Linked DNA regions of Caenorhabditis elegans. The protein of the gene in region 4 interacts with the protein of the main gene of each other region in a pairwise test. Each region holds a gene or a part of one and is shown on either strand. Other genes may lie near its edges.

Evidence for each region.
Region 1: the proteins of tbx-38 (region 4) and mls-2 interact in a two-hybrid assay, tested with the Caenorhabditis elegans proteins (one large-scale study listed by BioGRID).
Region 2: the proteins of tbx-38 (region 4) and C16B8.3 interact in a two-hybrid assay, tested with the Caenorhabditis elegans proteins (one large-scale study listed by BioGRID).
Region 3: the proteins of tbx-38 (region 4) and ceh-27 interact in a two-hybrid assay, tested with the Caenorhabditis elegans proteins (one large-scale study listed by BioGRID).

The regions. Positions count from the first base shown.
Region 1 is NC_003284.9:4,757,855-4,763,734, reverse strand, and holds mls-2 (Homeobox protein mls-2), read left to right. Parts: upstream 1-2,094; 5' UTR 2,095-2,122; coding exon 2,123-2,310; intron 2,311-2,366; coding exon 2,367-2,602; intron 2,603-2,840; exon of another isoform or gene 2,841-3,039; intron 3,040-3,915; coding exon 3,916-4,038; intron 4,039-4,091; coding exon 4,092-4,180; intron 4,181-4,226; coding exon 4,227-4,453; intron 4,454-4,499; coding exon 4,500-4,662; 3' UTR 4,663-4,931; downstream 4,932-5,880. UniProt on the Caenorhabditis elegans protein: Transcription factor that binds to the promoter of target genes. Regulates fate specification and/or differentiation of multiple cell types arising from the embryonic mesodermal (M) lineage and the ABp(l/r)paa precursors.
Region 2 is NC_003284.9:3,966,913-3,970,835, forward strand, and holds C16B8.3 (Annexin A7), read right to left. Parts: upstream 1,723-3,923; coding exon 1,228-1,722; downstream 1-1,227. Other genes in the region: C16B8.4 (Fibronectin type-III domain-containing protein), read right to left, coding at 3,754-3,923.
Region 3 is NC_003283.11:11,660,795-11,667,762, reverse strand, and holds ceh-27 (Homeobox domain-containing protein), read left to right. Parts: upstream 1-2,660; 5' UTR 2,661-2,696; exon of another isoform or gene 2,697-2,829; intron 2,830-3,064; 5' UTR 3,065-3,065; coding exon 3,066-3,223; intron 3,224-3,527; coding exon 3,528-3,595; intron 3,596-5,031; coding exon 5,032-5,228; intron 5,229-5,298; coding exon 5,299-5,556; intron 5,557-5,876; coding exon 5,877-5,987; 3' UTR 5,988-6,214; downstream 6,215-6,968. Other genes in the region: F46F3.3 (Attacin_C domain-containing protein), read right to left, coding at 197-248.
Region 4 is NC_003281.10:11,783,298-11,788,731, forward strand, and holds tbx-38 (T-box protein 38), read right to left. Parts: upstream 2,765-5,434; 5' UTR 2,756-2,764; coding exon 2,550-2,755; intron 2,528-2,549; exon of another isoform or gene 2,448-2,527; intron 2,389-2,447; coding exon 2,070-2,388; intron 1,304-2,069; coding exon 917-1,303; 3' UTR 785-916; downstream 1-784. Other genes in the region: srd-74 (Serpentine Receptor, class D (delta)), read left to right, coding at 117-395, 467-538, 589-777; C24H11.1 (Serine/threonine-protein phosphatase), read left to right, coding at 4,451-4,504, 4,552-4,683, 4,941-5,150, 5,222-5,385. UniProt on the Caenorhabditis elegans protein: Transcription factor. Required for mesodermal induction, acting redundantly with transcription factor tbx-37. Together with tbx-37, acts by inducing cell fates in the AB lineage, thereby playing a role in development of the anterior pharynx.

The DNA.
Region 1 (5,880 bases), on a different chromosome or scaffold from region 4:
TACGGCTGTCGGGAAGAGCACAACATTTTCCCATCAGAAGCAAGTTTGAATTTCCTCCTCCGGGTCATTCGCACCTTACAATTTAGCAGGTGTCTATTGCAAACCGGATGTAAAGAAATGTTTCCCAAAACGGTTGTTTTTGCGCAATCTGGCCCCAACATTACCAACAGGTCACTTATTCCATTATTCTGTATCGTATGACTATAGCGATAGGTACTAAAACAAGGCAGATTGCGCTAATGGACAAATTTGTTAGACAAACACTTCCGGTGTCGTTTTCCTTAGATGTGAGCAACAGACACCAACATTTCACACCTTCTACAGTGTTGCACATTGGCTTGAGAACGTTGTGAGTCGTCGTATTAAATCCATTTTGTGATGTTTTACATAACAAAACCTCTAAGAGAATAATGGGAAATAATGTGGAAAATATCAATTCCATTTTCTCATTCTCATCCTCATCTTTCATTTCATTTCTGCTCATTTTCAGCTCATTTCTATGAACGCCACTACTATCAGCCATTACGTGTGTGCATGTTTTTCCTCGACCATATTATTCTGTACAAATACGTCGTCGCCTTATTTTACTATTACCGGTTTTAATGAGATTGTGTTGAATTATTTTCTCCCCCCTCCCTATTTGAAACCAAACGAGCGCGCACACAAACACATGAGAGCGGGCGGGTAAGCGTCTTGGGTCCCAATTACCGTATATCATGGAAGTGGGTGGAGCTGTGGACGTTCATTCAATACGGCTGTGCTCACCTCAACTCGTTTTATTTTGCGTTTGATCAAAACTAAAACTTGATTTTTTTTTCAAATGTTCGTCATTGGACTCTCAAGGGTTAATCAGGAAAAAAAACACATTTCGTGATTACTTGTTTGCTTCGAACTTTTTTTCAAGCTTCATAAGACTTCATGTGATAGTTTCCGATTCACTTCCATCGACTCTTGATTCATCTCTTTTCCCTCAGTTTTGCATGGGTTCTCTAAGGTATCAGAAATCTCGTCTAAAATTTTCATTTGTAAATTAAACCCCCATTCTGAAAATTAACAGTAATACGAGTGTTCTTTTTTCAGCCAAAAATGATTTTTTTGGAAAGTATGGAAAAAAGTAGTTTAAAAGATGTCATCACAATATTGGCAGTACTCTTTTCAACTTCCTGTACATCAAAATATCAAACCATTTACCGTATTTTCCCTATTAGGATTTCAACCCAGTTTCCATCTTTACCAGCTTAACACGAACAAAGTACTTGTCAATTTTTTTTAGCGGTTTGTAGTTTCTTATCTTTGATACTGAACACAGATATAACGTTTCAAATAGTGTGGTACAGTACTATTCAAGGAGTTACGGTATTCGAACACATTTCAAGTGAACAATGATCCTGAGTGTTTTGCTCATCGAGCCTATATTAGATATCTCTCCTGTTTCCATCATTCCTCATTATTACCTTTTGCACTCCGAATTCGACACTAACCGCGGATAAGCTGCTGCTTGACCCGTGCGTTCGCATAGCAACAACGATCCACTAACATCTCGAATTTCATATTTAAATTAATAATGTTTTGCTTAAAGCATAACTGATTAGCTTTTTGGCATTCTCGTTGGAATATACATTGAACCTACATTACAAAATCAATTGATCATCAATTTTGAAACAATTGATAGAGTCGCTCAGCGGAAAAAAAACGGTTAATTGTTGTGATTAATGGTGTTAACCAAACATAGTAATCCACTTAAACGAATTAGACATTAAGTTGGACAGGGCGTATTGCCTAGAAACATCTCTGTTTTGCTTGATCACTTAACACATTAGCGGAAAAGCAAGCAGGGAGTTCTTCGAGATCCTCAGATTCTGCTAAACTTCTCTCAACTGTATTCATAGTCGTTTTCCTATTGGTCAACCATTGTTTATATAGTTTTGATATCCGTTTTCTTAACACTACCAAAGACAATAATTTGACTTGGTCATCATTTCATTATTACTCCTCTCCTTCCCATTTCCTACACCCCATTTATCCGCGAACGCTCGCCCAGCTACCGTAGTCTTGAATGGTGGGGCGGGGCTACTCATTAGTATTCTCGATTAGCCCTCAGTTGACTCTATTTTTCTCAAACATGCCGACTTCAGTTATGAATCTCCCTATTGATATGACGACAATGAGCTCGCAAGAACGTCTCGAAAAAATGTCACAACTTCCAAAGATTGAACTGATGGAGGAAGAAGAGGAAGAAGAGATGAAGCCAAGTTCAGATAATAAGATTAAATTCAATATTTCTGAGTTGCTGGAAGATGACAGAAAACCGTAAGTTGAACATTTTCATTTATTTTCCTTTTATTTGTATAAAATTAAACTTTCAGAACTACACAAAGTTCCCCGTCGGCATCTTCAGAGGATAGCACCAATGAAATTGAGCAAACGGCGTTTAATTTCAATTTTGATCCAAAAATGAATCCGATTTCTGCCCTCCTGCAACTTCAGCAAACTTTCTTGAACGTCGGCAATCAACAAAACATGATCTCACCACTTACCATGTTCCCATTCTTTGGACTTCCGACTGCTCAACTAATGCACTTCAAAAACATGAGCAACCCAGGTCAGTAGATATTACCCAACTTCCTCTCTCCTTAGTCTGTCATTAGTTAATGTGTGAAAGAATCCTACCATATTTCATTTCATTCAAAACAGTGTTCCGTTTACCACTATAATTTTCGGTCGGTTCTCTTTATTCTCCGAATCTCAGAACACCCCTTAATACAGTAACTAATTCATTTTCTGACCCATTGTTATTGTATGGTCTCGAATTAGCCAAGTCTGGACTCATTAACAAGTTGAACAACGGTATTGGATGAACATATGGAAAAAGGAGGGGGGAGGTTGTCGGCGGATGCAGTTCCTTTCTTAGGATAAGAATCAGAATCGCTCGCCTGTGTTGAACTCAACTAATTATCTTTTGTTGGGTAACACCACACGCGGTATTCATTGATTCTTGAAAGGATGTGCTCAAACAGCAATAAGTTAATAACGTGAGAATACTAAACCCCATGAGCTCGGTGACGCGTGTCAGGTCCTTGACTTTTATTTTGATTCTAAAAATAAATACATTCAATTAAAAATTATAGAGAAACAACTTTTTTTTTCAGATTCAAAGTTTTTAATAATGAAATGTGGCCTGTAGGGAATTACCAAATGTCATACTAAAACATTTCAAAAATGTTTTAAATAAAATTTATTTTTAGTCAAAGAACATTGAAAACTCATAGTCCGCTTTTACCTAATTTTTGGCTCAAAATTTTTTTAAAAACAGTTTTATTTTGATATTAAGCCATTTTAACATTACAAAAATGCTGATTAATTATTTCCCCTCACAGGTCCAACTTTAAGCCATTAAGTTTTCCGCTCAGTTGATTTGGCAAAGCAAATCAGCGTATTGTAAAATAACATCATCACGCTGTTTTATTACGCTGACTCTGTTGATACATGTGGTTTTGCCACTGATTTGTTTTTGATAACATGTGAAATGATCAAAACAGCAATAGAAATCTCTTATTCTAATGAGCCTTTTCCATTTCGCATGAAAAATCAGGCATACGCATGAGCGCACATTTTTAGTCGTCAATATTCGTAACGTAAGCGGCTACACTTCGGTTTTTAAGAGATTCTAATTAGTCAACGAAGAATCAGTATTGAAAACTAAAGGTAGTTCTTAATATAGAGACATCTATTTATAAAGGTGTCATTTTGACCGACACCCGTGTCCTAGTAATCCCCCGTCCATTGAGATAATTAACCGATGGACCACGGGGGGATGTGTTATAATTGTGGCCTGTCAATGGAAGTATCTTAATGCAATATGGTTAATATGCCTGTCAGGAATTAAGTAATTGTTGAAAATGTGTTTCCTTACAGATGTTAATATTCAATCAGACAATGGAGAAGAGAAGGATGAAAAATCGGAGGGAAAAGATGGGGAGACCAGGGATTCCACTGGTGGCAGCCCGCTGGAGTCTGACGCAGAAGATGACGATGATAGTGAGTTGAATTTAAAAATGTGTCCACAAAAGTGTCCATAAACTGTATTTCAGTTGGCCGTGGAAGCGATGATGAAGCCAACTCTAGCGATCCATCACAAAATAGAAAGAAGAAAACCAGAACCGTCTTCAGCAGGAGTCAGGTATCAGAAATTGTACATTCCGAACTCAAATAATACTTTCATTCAGGTGTCCCAATTGGAAATGATGTTCGAATGCAAAAGATATTTGAGCAGTCAAGAGAGATCAAATTTAGCACAGAAGCTGCACTTGACGGAGACCCAAGTGAAAATTTGGTTCCAAAATCGACGAAACAAGTTCAAGAGACAAGCTCAGACTGATGACACGAACATTTCCCTGCAGATGCATAGAGCTAATGTGTTTTCGATTCCAGCAACCACAGCTCTTACATCTCCGTGAGTTTACTGTTTCATGAAATTAATTCTAAATTTTATATTTCAGAATCCTTACGATCCCAACGACCAGTGCTGGTGTGAACATGAGAAATATGATTTCATCTCCAATGGATGCTTCTGCAACTGCCGCCGCGCGGTTTCTTTTCGGTTTTGGTACACTTCAGGCACAGCAAAACTTGAATGCGTCGGCTCAAGCGCAGAACATGTGAACACCTTATTACTAATTTAGACTCACCCCCTGTGCAATTCAACTCAACCTCAACACATTTTTCATCTCATCACTGACTCTATCTCTTCACACTTGATTTTTGATTCATCGCCCTTCGTATATATTTTATTTTTCATACCCTATATGTTTATTATGTGTCATTCTGTGTATTTTATAAACTATCTTCGAGCACATGATAATTCAGTTCATCAATCCTTTCTCTTTCACTAAATAATTATTTATTGAGTAATAAATTTACATTATGAATACATACAATACAAAAATGATAGAAACTTTTTGATGTGTAAAAGACCATTTTCCAACAGATTATGATGGTAGCAAAGCTACTCTTTTCACATACATACATATACTAATATTTAAGATGAAATTTCAAAACAAATGTTCAAATTCCATCAACTGCAGAAATATCAGAAAACTTTTATTCTGCTTGAAGAACGAAAACTTACAAAATTTCCAAAAATTTGAATTGTATTACTTGGATATAAAATAATAGTTTGTCTCCTTTGTATGTAGTATCTGTTTTTTTAAAGAGTTTTTGTTGTGTTTTGAAAGGTTAATGGTTAAAATTAGTAGAATGAATTAGGGTAGTGTAGTGTAGGTGTTCAGTAGGCAACTTTGAAAAAAGTAAGTTGTTATGCTTTGAAATAATATTGGAGAGTCAAAAGTATTAGAAATCTCTGTCTTAAACAGTACAAAAACGCTCGAGAAATTTTTGAAGAACTGTTTTGAAGAACTCCAAAAAAAATTTCTAGAAATTTCAAAAATTACGAAAAAAATTCCTTCGACACTTGCTGATTTCTGAAATTTTGTTGCAACGCTTTTTATTCGGATTGATAATTTTAAAGCGCATCTTGTAAGTTGGAATTCTAAGTTCTTTAGTCGTAGTCATTGTACTTCACAATACACACATACATGTTCAGTACTTTTATCTACAGCTGCTTTTTTACAGATCGTTTCATCCTCTATCTCATCTTTGATAGGGCCGACCAACTTTCCGCTTTCAAAAAAGTACTTTTTATCATGACATCATGTTAAAACTATTTCATTGCACAGATAGAAGAGTTTGAGGTCATTCGTGTTCTAATGATTCATGGGAACCGCGACCTTTGTCGTGCCGACAGAAATTTGAATTTCTCTCCTGACTCTGTTGGCGTGCAAGAAATATCTTTTTTGATCAGTGATCAAAGTAAGAAAAAAG
Region 2 (3,923 bases), on a different chromosome or scaffold from region 4:
CTTTTTGACCGACCGAAAATTAAAGCGAACAGTGCTTTTGACGCTCTATTATATTCTTTGTTTTATTGTTCGGCGAGTTAATGGGTTCCAGGGTTTCTTGGATGGGTTCCAGTAAGAATCAAATAACAATATTCGTTCAATTGGCGTTCCACAAACTAGAGTACATTGAACAAAACTAACTTTAAGAATTAGATCTAACATGGAGGAAAAAGAAAATGCCAGTCATCACTCCCTAGTTTACTACAGGCAGGGGACACTAAAAAGGATTACTGTGATGCGCAGAAATACTAACATTTCCATAGAAACCTAGTAACTAGGTGAATCAGTATTTCAATATTGATTAAAGGAAATAATTCCGTTCACATTTTTTAAACCTTGTTTCTGTAAAACGCGTGCTAAACCATTAACTCAGTTAGATAAAAAAGTTTCGATAAAATATTCTCCTCTTGAAACATTATATGTGCCTTCCAAAGAACATTAGCAGTGAACAGTTTTTTGTGCTACCTGAAAATTTACTAATTTCCATACTTCTAACGTTTGTATAACTAATTCTGAAACTGATAAAACTCTGTTAACAAGTTTAGTTGCAACAAGTTTTTCAATTAAAATGTGGTTACGAAGTAATTAAAAATTAATACCGGTTAGTCACTTTCTGACCGATGACAATTAATGCAGACATGCTTATGACTCTTTGCTATATTTTTTGTTTTACTCTTAATGGGTTCCAGAGTTGCTTTGATGGGTTCCAGTAATAATCAAATAATACTCGTTGAATTAGCGTCCGACTTACTGGAGATCATAGAATTCATTTGATTTTCACAGAAATCACTTGAAGATTTATGTTTAATATTGTGACATCGAATCGAATATTTCCTAGACCTATAGTATCGAACTGTTATATCAAACCACAATCAGAACTAATTTAGACAAGTTGATTATGTGTCCAATATTGCATCTATTGGAACAATAGGATTTATGAAAGTTAACAATAAATGTTGAATGCATAAATAGACAAATCAAGTAAAATTATTCTAAAGGTAATTTTCAAACATTTCCACGTGCCACTGACACTCAAACCAACCAATAGTTGTTGGAGTATTTCTTAAAATTTTTGAAAAGAACATTGAACAGTTTTAACATTTATTTGGCAATTCAAACAGCAAGAAAAAACATGGTATATTAAATTGATTAGTAGTACAAAAGGTATACAAAAGCTTACATATTAACTCAATATGGTCTTGGATATCCTGGATACTGTCCGGGTGGAGGTGGAGGATATTGCCCTGTTGGTGGTGGTGGGTACATACCGGCTGGCGTGGCTCCGGTTCCAATTTGATATGGCTGCTGTTGTGGATAGCCTGGTGTGCTTGAGTATCCTGGGTTGCTTGGATACATGTTAGTTTGATAGGGTTGCTGTGGAAGTGGAGGTGGTTGTTGGTTGTACGCCGAGTATCCTTGGGTTGGGAGTGGTGGGGCTTGTTGGACATATCCACTAGGATTCACTCCAGCACCGATTCCCATAGGTGGTGGGGGTGCATATGTGGCTCCGTAAGGTCTTGGTGGCGGTGGAGCATATCCAACTCCGGCGCCAACTGGTGGTGGAGGGGCTCCATATGGAAGAGGCATAATTGGAGTAACACCGAAGCCAACTGGGGAACGATAAGAACCGTCACTAGAGGAAGAACTTGAGGAGGAAGAACTGCACGTGCGACGGCCGTACATCTGAAGAAAAAGTGTAAGTTGAGGGGTTTAAAAGGGAAAAAAATCAAACAGAAAGGTTGAAAAACGATCGATTGTGAGTTGTTAGTTTGCGATCCGCCTATTGCCTCAAAAACGAGAAGGTTTCACAATGTGATACGGTTATCAGTTTGCATTGTCAGAAGAAGTTTCTCGTTTTTCCATAGAGAAGAGCAAACAATGACGTATATGGAAACGAATGAACAAAAAAGAAACGAGGGCGTTTTCAGTGTATATTTTGAAACTTTCTTTGCAATCCATGAGTCATGAGGATAGATCATGGACATGACCTTCTGGATGATTCAATGGGAAGGAAGATTACATTCATTTGAATTTATAATAGGAATAATATCGAAATGTCAAACTGGAATGCCAATCAAATACAAACGTCAAAAAAATTATCAGGAAGAATGGAAAAGATCAGGGCAATATTTTAAAATTCAAAACTTTTTCTTGAATTAAGCCAGTCTGCTCTCCGTCGGTCTTGTTGTAAGTTAAATCCAAGCTTCGCTCGACTTTTCAGGAAAGACTGGCTGTAGTCTGGAGGTAAGAAATGCTGACCTTAAGTTTGACCGCGACAACCATCCAGACTGAGCCATCCGGACAACTTTCAACCCTATTGGGTCTGTAAGTTTCTTTTACAATTTTAACAGACTTTTGAAACTCAATTACGATTTAATTTTGTTTTTCAACTTCAATGAATTTTATTGTGTATTAGTTCTTGAATCCGTGTAATTTTAATAACTATTTCAGTCCGTTTTGCAAACCAGAAAGGCCGATCAATACACTTCCTAGCTAAGATTTTCTGCGCCTATGCATTTCGCACCTGTTCTATTCCGAACATGTTTGCGGATCAGTTCTCTGACCACCTAGTGTCTTCACATGATTTTGACATTGGAAACATGTGGCCGAATGGTCTAGTGGTATGATTCTCGCTTTGGGTGCGAGAGGTCCCGGGTTCAATCCCCGGTTCGGCCCATTCCTTTTACTCTTTTAAGCATTTTCAGCATGTAACTTTGAAAACTTGTATTTTGATCGAATCGTGAGACACATTCAGTAAAATTATGGGGAATTGTAAGAAAAGGCTTTGAATATTTTTTTATGTATTATTAATGTATTTGATCGCGGAATACATTCATATTTACATCATCTTCTACGAGTTTAACAATTTGTGAAAATTATAATAATTATGAAAAGTAATTTGAATTATATTAAAACAATTTCTCACGATTAGCAATTTTGATTGTTAGAAATCCTATTCCTAACCAAAACTTTCGAAAAAGTCATACTCTGCATTTTCAAGGTCAATGCTTACTGCGTTCAGAGTTTTCTTGTTTAGTAGAGACGCAGATAGACTTGTTTATTGGTTTGTGACTAGTCGACCACACGCAGAGCGCTATTCACGAGAGCGTGCATGTGTAGGAAGAGGCGTTCACGACGAGACGTGGCCGGATGGTCTAGTGGTATGATTCTCGCTTAGGGTGCGAGAGGTCCCGGGATCGATCCCCGGTCCGGCCCACTTACTTTTTTCCTTGTAGCGAATGGTTATATGCTTTTGATGTATTATGCATATGGTTATTTCAGGAAAACTACAATACATATCAGCTCGAAACGTGGCCGGATGGTCTAGTGGTATGATTCTCGCTTAGGGTGCGAGAGGTCCCGGGATCGATCCCCGGTTCGGCCCGCTTAATTTTTTGATGTATTTTGTTAAGTGTTTTTATGATTGTTTGGAATTATAAAAATTTAGTTGATATTTGCGAATCTGAATAAAAAATCAATACAATTTTAATAATCATTTTTGAATCTCTCATGACAAACTTTATAGAAAACAATTCTCTATTTACAAAACCGGAAAAGCAACACAAGGTATAAAAAATGAACACTTAAATATTAAAATAGCATAATGAATTAAACCCGAGATAACATGTAACAAAGTTTAACTTTGGTTCAACGAAATACCCATAAATAATGAGAATGTGACTGCTAAGCTCTACTAAAACCTGGAACTAAAAATCAGGCGTAATCTGTGAGTTTAGCCTTGTTCTCAGAAACTTTCACAGGACATTTGTTGCAGCATCTGCAGACAGCAAAACAAAGTACAGCAAAGATGAGAAAAGTGAACGAAACTCCGACGGCGATGATTTTCAGTGAAGAATTTATCAACTTTTCTTGCATTACAGCAA
Region 3 (6,968 bases), on a different chromosome or scaffold from region 4:
TGACAATTAGCTCTAAATATACTCAAAAATACAGTATTTCTTAGTGACATAATGAAAATGTTTGAAAGTTTGAAAACATTTCAGTCAACTTTTAGGCAAAACTATGATATTTAGTTGTTCTAGAACCGCGAGGATTTATTTTTAACATTTTCGCTTGGTGATCAGGGCAGCATTAAATAAAAACGTTTAAAGTTACCAATGACGCTTGAAATTGCCAAAATTGAGAACGCAGAAATAATAATACGCATGCTTAATTCGTGAAATGTGATAATGATTCTTGTGATATGATAGCCAAAAGGATAAGTCACTGGATGATGGCCTCATTTCATTCCAGTTTCTCTTATGTTTTATCATTGTTCGATATGAACCTTGAACTAAACTGAACTGTCAATGAAAACCGGATTATGAGATACTTCAACTGAACTAGTGAAACCAGGTATTCTCAAGAATTGAAAAGATGCTTCAACGATTTAAATGACAAAACACTTAGTTCCAGAAAGTGTGAAAATGTGCAAACCCCCGAAAAAGGAAACGACAAAAAACTCGCCGCAATCTCTGTTTACTCAATGTTTTCTCACTTCCGTGAAATGAATTGTATATTACATATTTTCTCACAATATCGGTATTCGAACCCGAAAAGAATACAGATGTCTTTCTTCCTTCCTGTTGCTCGGGACAGGTGCATGCCATCTTCTTTATTCTCTCAATAATGGAATTAGTGTTTTGTCGGGAAAAGGAGGTAGAAGGAAAGGGAAATGGCAGAAAAGTGACAACTGGAGAGAAAAGGATTTGTGAAATATGAACGGGCGACGAAAACCGTGGAAACGTTATGGAAAACTCAACACTTTTTTTTTGGTTTTCCTGATGTGGCACATAGTGTTCATAAATTCTCGAGTCTCTTGTTTTCAATCATCTTGAAGTGGATTTAGCAGGGTACTTTTTCTATTTAATTTATTTCAGTACACTAAGTTTTTTATATTCTGATGTCAGATTTCGCTTGATTCAAAATCATTTCTCAATTATATCATCTAGATTTTCCCACTTTGCGTTAAAGCCTTTTGCAACTCATTGTAATTACAAAGCAAAACAAAAGTGAAAATATATTAACACTCATTTTTATGAACATCAAGAAAATTTGTTTGTAGCCTGTAATTGAATTTGGAAAATAAAAACTTTGAATCAAAACGAATCTCTCTCACTAGTTTAAACTTGAACTATTTTAAGTTAATTTTAATAGAGAACTACATCTGATTAAACGAGAGTTTTTAATGGAAAGTTGGTTCGGTGAAAAATGAGAAAGTAACACTAATACTCTCACGCTCTATTGATTGTTGGCTCACTGTTATCAGTGTGATCAACTTCGTTGACTTAGCAAACTTTTTTTTTCTCATGGTAAAAAAAGAAGGTCGTTAAACTCATTAACATTTGGATTGTCCACTAATGATTGAGAGTTTTGAACTCTCTCCCAAGTGTAAAAGTTCAAACTGGATGTAGGAAGGCAAAGTGCAAGGTAGTAAAAAGAAAACAACTATTTACCGATTGAAAGAATCTTACTGAAAATATATTAATTTTACAACTAAACAGTTGATAAGGCAAAGTATCAAAGTACATTTTAAAAAAGCTGTTACGTGAACAAAGGTTTTTTCTCTTTTTATAAAAAAAACTAGGTATATCAAAACAGTAGAAACGGGAGGAAAATTTTCAAATTCCACACTTCGGAATGACTGAAGTCCAGTAAAAATATATATGCCCGTGTTAAGAAACTTTTTGCAAATCTCAATGTTTTAGGCGTTCATTTTTCCATTCCCTCAATAAACATTATTTGGAAACTTAAAATGTAAACTGCATCTTCAGTGTATTTACAGCAATATGACACAGTTCCTCGCCATTGAGAAATTATCAGTCTATTATAAAATTTTTTTATTGATTTTTTTCAGAATTAGGTTTCAATATGGCATACAACATTCAATACGACGTTAGTATATCTCAATATCTCCAAAAAAAATAATGAAGTAGAAAAAACTCATACAATTTTCAATGAGACATAGACATATACAACCTTAAATTTAAGATATTATCACAAACATACAATTAAATGACGACGCCGATGGTCTCACCTTATGGTGCAGTTTTATCTGAAAAGAAATTGAATTTTGCGAAGGATTGAGCTGTTTGTCCTTACGGTTTCTATTCAAGTTATTTCGCTGCCCCTTTGGTCTTTTTTTAGTCTGTTATTCTGTTGGCAACATAATTTACCAAAAAGAACAACACTCTCCAACACTAGTCAGAATTAGGATAACTGAATAATTTGCCAACTTAGGTACTTGTGGAGAAATCACATGACTTGAAGTTTTTTTCTTGCTAGCTGAGTTTATTTGGGAGTCTAGAACTCGAGATTTTCAAGTAAAGAAATTAGGCTTCTCCTACGCATTCTCAATTTCATTTATAATTTTCAGCTGGTAGCACTTGATTAAAATGGGCAATTAGGTTTCAAGTATTTCTTCTCTTTTTTTTCGGTTTCCATACCTCTTCCCCTCCGATACCTCGATTCTGTTTGCCCCAGTCTCCGCCCATGGCATCCAATGAGGTTGGTGGGCGTGTCTATCGGGTGGGACAAGCAGGGCGAGAGGCTGGACTGAAGGCGCACGGGAGACACGCACACGGTGAACGATCCTCCACAAGCACTCATATAAGAGGTAAATGAGCTCTAAGAGATTCTCTCGGTTTACTTGAAGGGCCACTTTGGCCGTCCTCTCCATGACTTTTCAAGTTTTTAACTTAAGTGAGTTTTGAGTAGTTTTCGGGACGGACGCCACTTCCATCCTCCCCTTCACACCCCATCCTTCACATTTAGCGCCCCAATCGAGGCACTGGAGCAGCAGTTTCAATTCTCTGTTTCCAAAAAATAATGATAGAATCTAGAAACCTATACCATATTACCTCAAACTCTAACTTGAAAAGTCATGGTGAGTCTTCTATTCATTCCTTTTATTTTCTTTGTATTCTAATATGACATTAACTTTAGAATCCCAGTTTCTCGCCTTTAACTACAATTAATTTGTAGAATGTCTTCTGGATCATCCAATTCCTCCACATCAGCCCCTAATTCTGTCACACCAACTACTGATGCTTTCTCAACTCTCTCCATCTCAGCACCGGCTACAACTGCAGCACAAATGTCTTATTTTGCCTTCCCTAATCAATATCCACATGATTTCTCAAGGTATGCTTTTAATTTGAGGTAAATTCTGGATGTATGATGATGGATTATATGTCCCCCAGATGTGGAATTATTCAACATCAATGGTTTCTAGCAAATATAATTTATTTCGATTTAGAATACAAAAAAGTTCAAAAAAATCCAATTAATTAGTTAATTCACGAATAATTTTAGCAAACCTGAATATTTCTTCAGCTACAACACAAGTGCGGCCTACGCCACCGCTCCTGAATACAAAAAAGTTCAAAAAAATCCAATTAATTAGTTAATTCACGAATAATTTTAGCAAACCTGAATATTTCTTCAGCTACAACACAAGTGCGGCCTACGCCACCGCTCCTTACCCAATGGCAACGCATCCTCAACTGGCCAATTGTGAGTTTTTTTCTTCAAATTCATCTTCTCGACTTTTCTCACTTTCCCGTTCGCAAATAATTACAGTCCGGTCAATTCAATTGAGTTGCGCGCTTCGCATTTTTCGCAACAATTATTTTATGTCTAGATTCTTTGGTTTATTATTTAGATTATTATATAACACATACATATATAAAACAAGCGTGCGCGATATAATTGACATATACCCGAGCTACAGTAGGTCTGGTCTATGAGTAAAAAAGGTTCCCACACTAGCTTTTTCCTTTCTCTTAGATCTTTTTTCGCTTCTTCCTGCAAAACATATAATCCCTTTCTGCCGGTGGTGCTAAATGTTTGTCTTTCCAACGAAACTCGTCCTACAGTACCTCCCCTTGGTTGCCACAACATTGGAAATGAACAAGTTTGCCAACTCAACTAACTACGTCTGTCCCTTATTTTCCTTTGTTGGACAACAAACAACTAACACCATATTGAGAGGTGATAGTAGGGGTTCAATGAAGTTGCGTCGGAAGTGACGTAACATCAGTAATCTACAACACCTACTTGAAACCGTGAGAGAATTGCTTCCAAAACTTAAAGGCATGAAGGTCGTGGTACTGTAGACGTGAACATGTGACAAAACTAGTTGGTGGAACTTTTAATTGTTGGAAGGTCAATGGCGGAAATCATAAAAAGGAAATCTGCAAAAAATGTGAACTCCGAATTGAAAAATTGCAGTAAGGGTCCAAATCAGATATCATATTTTCTGATAAGTATTTTAGAATGCCAAAAATTTATTTTCTATTATATCTCTACTTAAAATAATTTACATTGTCATTCTATTGAACAGCTTTGACATCTCATATCTGGGTGGTTTTTTGTTTTATCACAAAATTATCAACTTACAGTAAATGTCATTTTTCATATATAGTTTCGTACTTAGTTATTTTTTATAGCTTTAAAAACGAGATTTAAGTTGTCAAAGCGGAGCAATTAAGTACAATTCTGACAAAAAAAATACAGTAGTTGATACCGTATCAGTTTTTAGCTTTAAACCAAGTTCACTGCTGAAAACTTTTTCAAAACTTCCAATTTGATCTGAATTTTTATCTTTAAATGTACAGGACAACCTAGATTCAGTTGCTGGCAGCTTGTCTGCCAATTCTCAGCAATTTGTTTAGTACGCCACGGGGAGTCTCTCTCGAATACTCAATTGTCTGGTAAACGGACCATATTTGTAGAAGAGTTTGCTGTGGTGCCATTTTTGTATCGTAGTTAAGACAAGTGTTAGCATACATTGACACGTGCACGCATGTGTATTTTTCTTATTGTTTTTATAAGGGACTACGGAAATTGTCGATTTCCTGAGACTTCCGTTGAAGGGCAAATTATCGCGGATCTTATTGCCATGATCCTATTGTATTTAGTAGGCATAAAACAATCACTATTTATTGCAGTTAATCGCTTCCAAACCAATCAGCTGAATTTGGGACTTACGACACAGCAGAATATGATGATATCACGAAGAAAGCGACGTGTTCTCTTCTCACCTCAACAAGTTCACGTCCTGGAACGCAAATTCCAAATCAACAGATATTTGAGCGCCGCGGATCGGGAAAACCTTGCGAAGAGTATTAACTTGTCGGCAACACAGGTTTGAACTTTTAATTTAAGCTAATCATTTGCGATGTTTCTTGTTAGTTTCTCACATTTGCCGTATTCAGGTGAAAATCTGGTTCCAAAATCAACGCTACAAGTGCAAGAGACAAGAAAAAGAGAAGAAAATGGATGGTGGATGCTATCGGGATAGTGACAGGGACACTGATTCAGACAGAGACAATGATAGTAGTGGATCACTTGGAAGTTCGATGTCTGGAATCAAGAAGGAAGAAGATGAAGATCGGAAACCATTCATGCCATCAGCAGTTTCATCTGATACAGCTTGTCTTCCGGATATCTCACAACAAGCATTCCCATATCAGGTTCGTATTTTAGATTTGTTGAGACTTTCAAATCACAAAATCGTGTTACAAATAAGATTTTGTGACGGTAATCCAATAGGATTAACATAGGGAATCGGATCACACACTTGTGACTATCTCTCTATTCTAATTCAATTTGTTCCGTTATGATGTGGTCTCATCACCTGGAAACAGATGCAGATGCACAAATGATTTTTGAAGGACCCACTTCTGACTGCAGCTGTCATTTTCCACTTTTGAATCACAGGCTTATGAACTGTGCAGTTGTTTTTTATATGGCTATCGTTAGATGACAATGTTCAACTATGTTTTTTTTCCAGATGTACCCTTCGAGTTCATATATGCCTCCGTTCTTCGCATACCAAGCACCTCCTGCAAACTATCCTCCGTCTACATACAATTTATCGACATCAGCATTTCATAACCTTTAGCTGACATTCAACTATGCTCAATTTTTTTTTTAATTTTCTCAATTTCAATCTAAAAATCTCGTGACTCTTCTGTTCTCTTTCCTTCCCCAATCCTCAATGAGCTTCTCATTTTTTTATTCCAAAAATTGAAAAATCCCAACACTAAACTGGTATGTATTTATATGCGTTGTTGCTATATTTTTGATATTATATAATCTTGCACAATAAAAATAATTTTAAATTTAAAACTTTGTTTCATTGATTTCAGAAATAGATGTCGCTTTTACCGTAATCATAATGACAGACGACGTGCCATTCTCTTCCTATTCATTGGGATGAATGGTGATGAACATGAAGAGGCGCACGCATGTTGTATAGAAAAGAAAATGCGTAGTATATTGTTTTGTAGAAAACTGAATGGAGGTACTTGAACAAGACGTCGACATCCAAAAAAAGGAAGAAGGAAAAGAAGGAAATGAAGATGTCAGACAGCAATAGTGACGCGATGAATCATCCACCAAAAATTAGGAAGATTTTCAGAAAACATGTTTTCAGATGTTTTTAGGTGGTGTTCACATTGTTGCACAAGCTGTGTACTTCTCGTGATAACTGCTTGAGATCATATAGAAACGATTTTTAGTAAATTACTTTTGAAGCAAAATTAGCATTACAGTTGAAATAATTTAATTTGCAATTGGAAAAATAATCGATAACATTCTATTTCATAATTTATTCCATGTTTTTCCAATTTTTCCAATTTGCAGTTCTTAAAAGGCAAACTTTTTTTAAAACTGACTTTTAAAATGTATACTTTTTTCCAATATTGTACATATTCCAAAATGAAATCGCTTTTTTATTTTTCTTGTAAAATTATACACCATCCAGCTTTAATCCTGTTTTTGTAGCAGAAATCCCATTTTTCAAGTTCATGTCTTCAACTGACACCTTTGGTATGCACAGCCGGATAATCTACAGCTTGATGACAGACAGACACGTGTTGCG
Region 4 (5,434 bases):
CCTAAACCTAAACCTAAGACTAACCCTAAGCCTGAGCCTCAGCCTGAGCCTGAGCCTGAGCCTAGGTCTAAGCCTAATACTAGGACCACTTTCTAAATAAATTCCAAAATTTTCAGGTAGCAATTTTAATTCCTCCATACGACTTCCCTACAGTAACCCTGAACACGGAAAGATCGTATCCCAACTATCACCTATTAGATACTTTCGGCGAATATGGAGGCTTCAAGTCGACAACTCGGCTGGTTTATCTTATCAATACCACAATTCTCATGGGAATTCCCTACATGATGCCCGTTTTCATTCTGTACTGGAGACATCAGATCTTCAATCAAATCAACGAAGTTCAGACACATTTGAGTGAACGAACCAAGAAATCGTCGTTGGATTTGGTGAGGGTGAGTGGTAGGAGTAGGCTTGCCTGCCTAGTAGGTAGGCAAACAAGCAGGCAACTTTCCAATTTTTCCAGGCACTCACAATGCAGGCAATGTTCCCGATGGTATGCCTTCTTCCCAATGTTGCATACTTCCTTGTGGCGCAGGTGAGATAGGCAGGCAGGCAGGCACGCCTAGCCCATTGAAAAATTTCCAGCGAATCCACATCGAGTTCGAGATTGCCGAGTTCGTGCCGTTTCCAACCTGCGTCATCCCGTGCCTCATCGATCCGATTCTAACGATCTACTACGTTGCACCATATAGGAGTTTTGTGACGCGGCGGCAGAGAAGTGTCTCGATTGGGGTGACGTTGTCCGTGGCGCAGTCTTCCGCGAGGACTATTTGATTTTTTTTAAATATTAATAAAGTTTATTTCAATTGTTATTTATGAGACACATAAATAGTAATCCAGGAGATCAGTGCAGTACAATATTCAAAGGGGGAGAAAGGCAATAGGTAGGGGGTATAAAAATATTACAAAAAATTCACAAACTTTGGAATTCATTTTTGAGCTCTTGTGGTTGTCCTGGCATCATCATTTGCTGCTGTTGCCACCAAAACTCGTATTGTTTTTGATAATACATATTCCAAGCTAATTGAGCATTATTTTGAACTTCGAAATTGTAATTCTGAGCACTTGCAAACTGTGGCTGGTAGTTCTGCGGAGCCACAAAATTCTGGTTGAAATAATACGGGGTTTGCTGTGGGAGATCTATTTGCGGTGAGATTGTCGGTGGGGTTACCAATTTGCTGCGTTTGGGCGGAGAGTTTTCAGAATTTTCAGAGTCTGAAGAAAGCCGTCTCTTGCCATTCGAACGAAATCCGGATGCAAATTTATTGTGATGAACCTTGAGGTTTTTGAGGATTTCGTTCTGGAAAAGGGTACAATTTTGTAGAGAATATATGTATGTAGTTGGTGAAAAATTTCTAGTTGTGGGTAATTGAATTTGCTACATTTTTTTATTTTTTAGTTGACAAAATTTTAATAGCGTAGTTTCAATCCGGCACTTAATGAAAACTTAATGCTTTTTCCGAAATTGCCATGCCGAATAAATTTACCGAATTTGACGTGCTCGACAAATATTTTGAAAAAGTCGATTTGCGGCCTAAGCTTAAGCCTAAGACTAAGCCTAAGCCTAAGCCTAAGCCTAAGCCTAAGCCTAAGCCTAAGCCTAAGCCCAAGCCCAAGCCCAAGCCTAGGGCTAATCAGTGATGGGCAGCGAACATGCTTTCTTGGCGAACGACGAATTCGGCAAATTTGTCTATGCAGTTTTTTAAGTTTTCCAGGTTTTTTCTGAAGGTTTTTTCCTGTATAATGGCGTAAGCCTAAGCCTAAGTCTAAGCCTAAGCCTGAGCCTAATCCTAAGCCTAAGCTTAAGCTTCAGCAAATGGCAACTTTCGGCAAGTTTTTCAGTATTTTTTTAATTTTGAATTAGATGCTTTCTATATGTCTACATTTATTTTTGATTTGAAAAGTTGGAATAGCGCTTCGAAATTTACAGTTTTGGAAACTTGAAAATATGCTCTCCAACTTTAAACTACTTCATCTCCGTTGATAGTGACGCGATTAAAATGTTTTCAACTTTTTTCAACAAATTGTTGCAAATTTAATTTCCCACACCCTTTCAAATAACTAACCTGATAAGCAGTGACCACCATAAATTCAGTAGCCTCCAACCGGAACTGCTCCCCACTAAAATCCTCTTGATACCCTGTCTTATAATGTCGGACCTGTTTAACAGTGACCACTGGAATGTGCTTATGCATACTCTGCACTAAAATGACCTTCTGATCCTTGATTTCCGGGTTATTCGTGATTTTGATGTGAGCAAACGAGACGGGCTCACTCATCCATTCTGCTCCAGTACGCTTGCCACGCGGATGCTCCTTGTATTGGATTGGAAGAATCGGATCTCCTTTGGCGAATTCTTTCCATTCTCCTGCGTCGAATTTGTATCTGGAAATGAGTTCAAGTTTTTGAAATTGGAATCGTCCTATAGGTTATAACTCTGAAAGTATACCAGCTATCAAAAAGTTGTCAATTTAGAAATTGTAGCAAATTTAATTTTCTACAATTTACCAGTTGAAAATTTTTTTCTATCTTTTAACCCAACTCACTTAATCCCGTCAACACGTTCCAAATGAATATAAATCGAGTAGAGACTGCCTGGATCCAATCCCTTGATGATATAGTCCAAATGCGGAAAAATCACCCTTCCACGGTTTCTCGTCACAATCATTTCGGTTTTCGGGTAGAACTCTTCCCAAATTTCTGGTGTGCTCAAGGAGACTTTAATTCCGGATGGGGAGGTGCACGAGTACATGGTAATGCTGTAACAGGGGGAGTTATAGGAGTAACAGAAGCACAAAAAAGTGAGACCGGAAGTAGAGCAACAAAAATCTAATTGTAATAAAAGTGCTAACCACTCTCACTAATTCTGTAAAACTGAGCCGGTAAGTGGGCGGAGCCGGAAGGGGCTGGGCCACACGTAGGGGTGGACACGTGGCAAGTGGAGCACAACTTGGCACATATGAGCGTGTGGCCATGGGAGATGTAGCGCACGGCGGCCTTGGGTGCAGGCTTAGGCTTAGTCTTTAGGTTTAGTCTTAGGCTTAGTCTTTAGGTTTAGGTTTAGGCTTAGACATAGACATAGGCTTATGCTCAGGCTTAGGCTTAGAGTTATGCCTAGGCTTAGGTTTAGGCTCAGTCAGGCTTCTGCTTGGGCTTAGGCTTACAATTAGGCTTAGGCTTACACCTTTGAACAAGAAAAAACCTTCAGAGAAAACCTGGAAAACTGGAAAAACTGCATAGGCAAAGTCGCCGAATTCGCCGTTCACCAAGAAAGCCTGTTCGCCGCCCATCCCTTATTAGGCTTAGGCTCAAGCTAAGGCTTAGGCTTAGGCTCAGGCTTAAGCTTAGACCTCAGCTCAGGCTCAGGTTTAGGCTAAAGCATAGGCTTAGGCTTTTTGAATTCACACCAATATAATAATGACCTAGAAGGATCACACGCGAAGTATATCCAAAATAACTGTAAAATCGGAACACTCATTAAACTGCGAGCCAATGTTGGTGTCTGATTCTTGAACACCTCTTCCTCCAACTGAGCATCTCTATGGTCTTCAGCAATCTAGAATGTGTAGTTCACACTTCAAAAGTATACCTCCACCCACACCTTGACACCTCACACTCTAGTGATAGCGGTGCGCAGTTTTGAATTGGCTCGGAAGGAGAAGATGTGTCGGGCTCAGCGGGAGGGCTGGTGCATTTTGAAATTGGTTAGAAACACAAGAAATTGATTATAAAAATAATTTTATATTTTGTTTTTCATACATTTTTCAATAGCTTCATACTTAAACGTTACTATTAAATGTACATTTCTTCCAGTAATTTTTACTGCAAATATGAGATTTTTCAAGTAATAATAACGGTTCAAAAACGGTTCGAAACACTTGGCAAAATACTTTATAGCAAAGTATAAGCGGCACATGTCTTTGAGCCGTAACACAACTCTCTGCCATGTATGGTACGCCACGTGGTTTGGAAAACGAAAGACACACGATATTGTGGGAAACTTGGAGGACATCTGGAAAATTAAAGAAAAAAACAATATCGATTAGGAATTTAGGAATAGTTGGAAAACGATTTACAAACTTTTTGATAGCTTTGATAACAATTTAATCACGAAAATTATAATAAAAAATTATTGAAAAAAATTTACAAAAAAAAAAAGAAATTTTTCGCGTCAAAAACAAAAAAAAAAAAAAAACGCTATAAAAAAGTTGTCAACTATCAAAATGTAGAACATAAAATTTACAATTTTTGGATAGTTTACAACTTTAATAACAATTTAGTTACGCAAGTTTAAAACAATTTAAAAATGTTCGCGTCAAAAATAAAAACAATTGTTATCGCAATGGTCAATCAATAAATCATCAAAATCAATAAATCAATAGAAAGAAAATAAATTCATTAATTGATAATTCACACTTCAAAGGGATCAATTTGAATTGAAAACGAAATGAGTTCAAATTCTTCGAATTCTTCAAATCCTGCTGCAACAGATGCTCCAAAGGTAAGTGGAAATTCAGATGATTCTTTAAAATGCCTCTACCTTTTCAGAAAACTTCCGTTGAACCGGGTTCGGAAGCCAACAATTGGCATATCACGGAGGCCGATGAGAAGGGATTCAAGTTGACCGATATGATCAAGAAACTTCTGAAGCCTGTATTCTCGAAAGCCATTATGTTTGATGTAAGTAAAGGAGACTCTATACCGGCCTGCCTGCTTCACCTGTGCCTGCCTACATGCCTTCCCATTGCCTATCTGAATCATCCCTGCATATTTACCTGCCTGCCTCATACCTGCCTAAATGTTTAACCACTGCATTCCTACCTATTCTCTACCTGCACCATCCCTGCGTTTCTAAGCGGTTGCCTGCCTACCTACCCACGCCCCTGCCTGTCTATTTGCCTCCATGCCTACCTACGTTCCTAATGTCTTTTTTTCAGGAAAAAGAGATCCATGTGCTGTTGACACGTGTCTTCAAGTACTACACATCTCCACCGAACAAGAAAACTGCACCATCTGCTTCAGCATCTGCAACCACATCTATGAGCCCTCCAAAACCGGCTGCAAATGCTCTTTTGGAACTTCAAGCTCCGATCAACATTTGTGGAGATACCCACGGGCAGTACAACGACTTGCTTCGTATTTTCAATGTAAGTCCTTACCTGCCTGCCTACCATACCAACTGCATGTGTGCTAAGCTGTTCTATATGTTCCCTTTCAGGCCTGCGGAGCAGCGACAAAAACTCAATACCTCTTCCTCGGGGACTACGTGGATCGTGGAGGTCACTCATTGGAAGTCATTATGCTTCTCTTCTCACTCAAATTGGCAATGCCCAGAAAGATGCATTTGTTGAGAGGAAATCATGAGTTGAAGGCCATCAACAAGTAAGCACATGTTAGTAGATCTGACACAAAATAATCTTATTGGTAACAG